Linked DNA regions of Schizosaccharomyces pombe. The protein of the gene in region 1 binds, or shares a complex with, the protein of each later gene. Each region holds a gene or a part of one and is shown on either strand. Other genes may lie near its edges.

Region 1 (3,682 bases):
CACTGGATTACAGTGCGCATCTATCATTCCAAACGATTCAAAATCCGACAACGTTGTTTTAGTATCTACTAATGACAATGCTATCCGGTTATACAACACGGTCACTCACGCTTTAGTGTTGAAACTGAGTGATGCTCATCGTGTTAATGGCAGAGTACTTTCTCGTTTAAGTGAAGACAACAGTTATATCATTAGTGGAAGTGATACTAATGAAGTAGTTTTATGGCATATTCCCAACAAGGTACTCATCAATGCATCAAGAAAACGCTCTGTCATTCTCCATTTGCCCACGGAAACATTCAAGGTTTGTAGTGAGAGACTGACTTCGACCATCATTGCACCAGCAAGGACTGCTGTCGAAGCTAAAGAGTCGGAACATGATCGCAGTTTAATTGCAGAAGGATACAATCTAGTAAAACCTCATAGTCACAGATCATATGGAACACCTCCTGTACATCCGATTGATATAATAATTGCTACCAACATGGCAGGTATGACTATTGTCTTGTGTGTTGATTATGATTTGGGGAATTCCCATCATGGATTTAGAAACTCAAAATTTGGACACTTTGTGAAGCGTTTATTACGAACCTAATCTCGATTCAAAACTAATATTACTTTACCTTTTTTTATTTTGTTTAAGTCTTCTAAGTCATTCAGGTGTCATTTAAAATAGAGGACTCATTTTTTCCCCCTTTTAAATAATAGTTATGAAGTTTTTTTATGAAATTGTTTTTAATAATAGTATAATATAATATTCATTTTTTCGTGGTTTGTTAAGACACAAAAACAATTTTACGTCCAGAAAATTACTCCAGAATGTGCTGTAACTAATTGAGAGAAGCGTGGATTAAAGCGAACAATAGAAGGTGTTTCTGGTAAAAGGTTTTTAGATGTTGAAGAAGGAATGATAGCTAGCGGGTTCTCTGTTGAATGACTATTGCTGGTCGGAGTAGTTGATGCTAGGCCCATTTCGGTGAATGAATTAACAATGTGATCCGAGTTAACAGTTTGTTTCAGTTCTGGTAGTTGATACATGCAAAGATGCTCATTATCATATGAAGTAAAAAGAAATTTACTATCTGGAGACATGCAAGCTGAAGCATAATAAGTCAAATTTCCATCTTGGGTTTTTGTGCTAACCTTTGAAGGAACTCTTAATAATTCACTTCCACTATAAGCGTCTATAACGTAATGAAAATCATTTCCAGTTGTTAGCAATAGATATTTACCATCAGTACTGAATTCCACATTTGCAATGCGGACATGAGGGGGCAGGAATGTTAAAGGAATGTCTTGAAATGGGCGAGCATCAAATGATTTAATGTTATAAAGAGAAATTTTGTATTTTCTTTCACTAACTGAGGCAAAGATTAGTCCTGTAGCATCAAAAGCTGCAACAACGGGTGAACTAACATTGAGCAAACCCTACGTATTCCTAGTTAGTTTGATTATCAGTAATTGTTATACTCATACCTGGCAATTTGGAGACCGAAGGTCCCAAAGGCGAATAGTATTATCTAAAGAAGCGCTTAAAAAAGTTTCATCTGCTGGTGATACATCGATTGAAGTCACTGTTTGCTTATGGCCAGGAAAATATCGAAGATACCGATTTGTCACAACGTCTAAATAACGAACGGTATTGTCTTCCTTTGTGGAAGCATGTATTAATGAATTTGAATGATGAGTAAACCGACCTAAATGTGCTCCGTACTTTTTGCTTGCAAGTGATTTCACAAATCTAGAAGTTCATGGTCAGTTAGCCAAACAGGTTTCAAAAGTGAATTTAAGAAGTACTTACTTTCCAGAAATGCAGTTATACAGTTGTAAAGTATCATCAGTACACGACGCCAAGCACAACTCTCCACTGTCGTCAAAACTGAGAGAGGTAATTTCACCAACAAAATTCTGATTTTTCAGCCATTTTCTTGGTTGCATAGACGACAACAAGTCAAAAGTAATTGAAACTGTTGTCATTACTAAATAACGGTATGCTAAAAGGTGGGTTTCCTGAGAAAAATATATGGGTAAATAAGTTTTAAGTATGTATTTAGTGCGTATCTCCTATTAATATTCAGAATGGCTGATTACTGGAAAAGTATTCCAAAATATTATTGTAAATATTGCCAAATAGTAAGTTTTTTCTATAACATCCAAAAATTATTTCTAAAGTGGTGAAATTAATAGAATCCTACTAACAGTACAGTTCGTGAAAGATACACCATTTGCGCGACGGAGCCATGAGCAAACTTATAAACATCAGGATGCTATTAAAAAAGTAATGGATGATATTCATCGTTCCAACCTTTTAAGGCAGGAACTTGAGAAGAATTTATCTATACCAAAATCAGCTACTGCTACCACTGCTTCAGCGGTGTCATCTGAACTAGCATCGTATGAGAAACCAAAAAAGGAGCATCCAAAATTACGTCCCTCTAAAAAAAAAGCTACTTTGGATGATTGGGATATTCCTACAAGTTCTACGGAGACTGACACCATCTCTACTACTCATACCAGCTATATTCCTACATTGCTAGCAAAGCAAGAAGAAAATGAAGAAACCAAGGAAACAACTACTAATAAAAATGAGTCTCTACCAGGGACCTCTTTGAAAAGAAACAGAGAGATCATCGAAAAAGAAGAAAGATCTTCATTTCATTTTCGGGTAAAACCAAAAAACTTAGATAAAGTACCTAAGTTAGCTGAAAACGAGGGAAACAAATCGCTAGAAAGCAAGGAATCAAATGAAAACAAAGTGGTGTTTAAAAAGAAAAAGTCTGGAAAGTTAAGAACAAAATCTTCCTTAAAAGAATATGATCAATCTTGAAGAAAAAAACCATCTTTGTTTAAAAAAAATTCTAGGATGAAAAAATTTTGTATCCAATTCCTGCATTCTGTTCAACATAACGAGAGTAGCTTTTGTGTTGGGTAATCAGCATTAAGTAAGTATTCATATCGGTTATGAATGCTAAGTTGAACATTTATTCAATAACTATATTTGAGGTTTATTGAAAACATTTTTCCTTTTTTTATTTTGTTTTATTTAACATTTCTTTTCAAAGTCATTTTGGGACACTTATCTTCAAACTCCTCCAACAGACTTGAGCGTTTATAAAAAAGAATGTAGGAAGAGGAGAAATCTTCTCTCAAGTCAGTAATACCGCCCACTGTTCGAACAATTGAGTCATCAATATGGCACCATTCATTATTAAAAAGTACATCAGATATATAATGTCCATTTTCGAGCTGGCCATAATGACAGATAAATGCAAACAGGTTATAATTGCTAGGAATATAACCAATTCCCGATTGGAAACTCGGTGGTACCAGCATTTTACTTGGAATCTGTAAGCTCAATCCAAGTGGTGTATCAATTTTTTTACGACCCATTACGGATATTTTAAATCTCTGAATTTGTATGATCAAATATTCAGGTAGTTTCGAAATCATAATTACTTTTTTTGCCGACCTTTGAACCTTGCACACGGGACAATGCCATCCATCATGCCCTTGCAAGAGTTCAGGAGCTGAAAATTTTAATAAGCATTCTTGTAGGCTTACTACATGGGAGACATCGTCAATCGGTATCGCAAGCGATGTGAAGGGAGCAAAAGTAGTAGATGTGCGGCCACATGTCATACATTGAGTACGACTGCAAAGTTGACCTACAAAATTGTTGACC
Region 2 (3,699 bases), on another chromosome or scaffold:
TCAAAAACGAGTAAGCCTTATCCCATCTCGAACAACGACATATTACAACTTGGGGCGGATTATAGAGGAGGTCATGAAGTCAACTATCGTTGTGTTCGTGCCCGAGTTGAGCTAAACAACTCTTGGAAAATTAAGCTTAGTCCTTACAACCTTAACGAATTCAAAAGAATGCAAGAACTGGTGTTATGCGGATCTTCTGAATCGGGTCCTCCGGAATGTTGTATATGTCTTATGCCTGTTTTACCTTGTCAAGCATTGTTCGTTGCACCTTGTTCTCACTCTTATCACTATAAATGCATACGCCCAACCCTAAACGAAAGTCACCCATACTTCAGTTGCTTTATATGTAGAAAATATCATGATTTGGAGGCTCCTGTTGAAGAAGGTGACGAAAGTCTAAATGACCTTCTACGAAATGCAACGGTAAAAGACGATGCATCTGAGTAAACTGTTATTTTCAGTATGGTTACTAATTGTCTTTTACGTCCTCAAGTTCTTCCTTTAATGACCATCGTAACATAATGATCATATTATATTTAGTCTTTATGAGCATGGCAGAAGATTATGGGAACACAGGCTCTTTGACATTTGCTGTTGCCTGATGATTGAATTAAACAAGCATGCCTCCCTAACTTTATTTATCAACACTCATAATGATTAAATATTTTATTGATGAGAAAACCAAGTGCTACTTGGTCTCTTTTATTCATTACTGCATTAATATAATTATCCTAAATGGATATATAATCTTAACTTCTGTCGTCCTTCACACCTGATCTCTACATACTCTCACATTTTTTTATTTTTTTTGAAACATTGGCATCACAAATGAATGTACTAATAATCAGCAGTAATAGAGATCCGAATCTGAAAGAATTGTGGTTGTTCTTCTGAGAGTCCATTTATTATCTCCTTCAGCATCATTAAATGTTATAACTTTTAATTCACTTCTTATGCAACCTAATGTGATTGCTGGTAAAATTCCCGAGAGTACAATTCTTAATTGTAATAAGTATGTTCAGTATATGCAATTTAGAAGTAATCAATAACAAAACTTTTTCAAACTTTTAAGTAGCTAATTATCTTCATTTGCGCCCATCCATGGTTTTACTATTCAGCAATTTTTCTTCATCCTCATGCTCTATTTGTTCAATCCCTATTTGTTCAAGAGAATTATAAATAACTTCCCTCAAATCTTGATCAGATAAAACATTGCTTCGGATGTGTTCCATGCTATCTTCATACAATGAAGATCTTATGGGTTAGACTGAGTTTCCAAAAAGAAAAGAAAAAAAACCATTATTAAGTCGTAAGCTTACCTATCTACGGCACCTGCAATTAAAGGAGCAGCCCTAAACTGGTCTTTACTTTTGAGTGTGCGATCTTTCACCATTTCTTCATCAATGATTTTTTTCAGCCGATCTAATAAAGGCCCTGATTCCTGAGGCGATGTTAGTATGGCAAAAGAGTGAGTGACATTGGTATCATTATGATAGTTAAAAAAAATAGTGATAGTTTAATTTTTGAGGAAACTATCGATGACCCTACCTTTTCATTTACTGTTTCTAGAATTTGTTTTCGAAGGCGATCAAAATGTCCTTCTTTTTTAAATTTAGATACAAGTTCATCAACATTAAGTGTTACATCCCTATCCATGCCTTTTGTTTATGAATTGACTACACGGTAAAATAATGTGGTAAAGAAAAGAATTTTCACGAAATGTAAAGATTTGATTACAGATTATTCGGCCATATTTATACTACCTTATTAATAAAACTCGAGTTATTTTACAAGACACATTTAACTTGAATTAATTGATCGTGTCTTGATTGCTCAATGTAAAAGTTCTTGAAGTAATATCTCGCAGAAGGGACTTCGTACAATCACCCTGTAAGAAACACGTACTAACGAGGTTTAACTTAAATGCGATGTTCTGTTGTTAAGGCTTTACTTTGACCGTTTGGCTAGTGAATTTTCTTATGTGTTTATGGTTGAACTTGCGTTATGTAGGTAGTGCAATGTGAGTTTCCCATCTAAAAAATTATCAAACTTCTGTTTGGTTTCGCGTATTACACTTACAATTAAAAGGATTGGCATTGGTTCCTATTGCTACAACAAGTAATACATGAAAGTAAAAAAAAGGCATAAAATTATGAGCATTTGCAAGTCCTAATGCTTGTATTATACCCACTAATGATCAATTAATATACAGTCAAGTGGTAACTATAACAACTTTTCGAAAGATAAGAGTTAAAAACCTGTTTTAAAACAAATTAGAGGTTTTTGGCATATGCCACGTGAAGGCCAGAAAATAAATGAAAATGTTTTACCGATACTAACCAAAGACACAGGCCTATTTTCAAAATGTGGTTGTTTTTCTGAATTCATTTAATTATAACTGCTTTTTTTTGGTGTGCGCACAATACGTCGAAGAATTTGTTAACTACCTTTAAAATTTCAGCTACACCAAACTTTGCATCTACGCTCAACAAACATTGCAATTACTATTTGCATCCCAGTCTTTTAATATTGTCATGAAAAATCCAATAAAATGGGCGATTATAGCGGTTTTGCTGTCAACCGTCGTGGCTGTAAGTTTTTTCCTTGTCCTTTAGAACACGTCTCATTGGTTCTTGTGCAATACAATCGTGATTAGTTTATTGTTGTACAAAGACGAAATAAATTCCGTGCAAATATGCAGGTGATGCAGAATTTACTTTGTCTCAGTAATTTACGATTTTGCTATAATCGTTTTTCTACATTCTTAAATCAATGATATTCACTTTTCCTTTTGGAAGAAGTAATGTTTTGATAGATAATTGAAATCAAAGTTTTTTTGCATTGAATCTAACACTACTTTAGAAAAAAATCGTTGGCGAAGGTATGGCAGACGTGTCAGCTATCAAACATCCAGAGGAAGTGCACCCAACAAACCGTGACTTTCTTAGGAGTTTGATCTTCTCTATATCTATGATTTTTGGTTGTGAAATAGGAGACAAGACTTTCATCGTAGCTGCTCTTTTGGCCTTTGAAAACTCTCGATTAACTGTTTTTGCTGGGTCATACTCAGCTCTATTCATCATGACATTATTAGGAGTACTTCTTGGGCACGCCGCTCCATTACTTTTTCCTAGAAAGTTAACGGACATTCTGGGAGGTGTCCTTTTTGTGATTTTTGGAATTAAAATGCTTATGGAAGCGAAGGAAGTTATGGATTCTAAAGAATCCATGTCTGACGAATTTCAGAACGTCCGCAACGAAATAGCTGCTAATGGCCCCATCGACCAATTGTTGGAGGAAGGGGCAGCACCTTCCCACTACACTGGTCACAGGTCTCGCTCTGGACATACTTTAATGTCGCAATTAAAATCAAAGGGACGGAACGTTATGGCTACCCTGTTTTCTCCTTTATTTATAAAGGCGTTTGCACTTACCTTTGTTAGTGAATGGGGAGATCGCTCCCAAATCGCTACTATTGCAATGGCTGCTAGTGATAATGTTTACGGTGTATTCATGGGGGCTAATGTTGGTCATGCTTGCTGTACAGCTTTGGCAGTTATTTCTGGAAAATATATTTCTACCAAGATAAAGGTTCATAAAGTCATGTTCATTGGAGGAATACTCTTTATTGCATTTGGATTGGTTTATTTTTATCAAGGCTTTTTTTAAAATACAACGTATTACTATGCCGTTAGAAAT

The links.
Region 2: swd2 (region 1) and shg1 share a complex: the UniProt entries of both Schizosaccharomyces pombe proteins name them as parts of the set1 complex.

Annotation. Positions count from the first base shown.
Region 1 is NC_003423.3:1,781,180-1,784,861, forward strand, and holds swd2 (Set1C complex subunit Swd2.1), read right to left. Parts: upstream 2,041-3,682; 5' UTR 1,978-2,040; coding exon 1,802-1,977; intron 1,742-1,801; coding exon 1,477-1,741; intron 1,429-1,476; coding exon 796-1,428; 3' UTR 766-795; downstream 1-765. Other genes in the region: SPOM_SPBC18H10.05 (WD repeat-containing protein), read left to right, coding at 1-595; wbp4 (WW domain-binding protein 4), read left to right, coding at 2,080-2,133, 2,207-2,827; ubiquitin hydrolase Ubp4, read right to left, coding at 3,040-3,682. UniProt on the Schizosaccharomyces pombe protein: The Set1 complex specifically methylates 'Lys-4' of histone H3.
Region 2 is NC_003424.3:2,355,318-2,359,016, reverse strand, and holds shg1 (Set1C complex subunit Shg1), read right to left. Parts: upstream 1,699-3,699; 5' UTR 1,657-1,698; coding exon 1,549-1,656; exon of another isoform or gene 1,442-1,548; coding exon 1,320-1,441; exon of another isoform or gene 1,255-1,319; coding exon 1,086-1,254; 3' UTR 629-1,085; downstream 1-628. Other genes in the region: mitotic spindle checkpoint ubiquitin ligase Dma1, read left to right, coding at 1-447; gdt2 (GDT1-like protein), read left to right, coding at 2,535-2,591, 2,863-3,669. UniProt on the Schizosaccharomyces pombe protein: The Set1 complex specifically methylates 'Lys-4' of histone H3.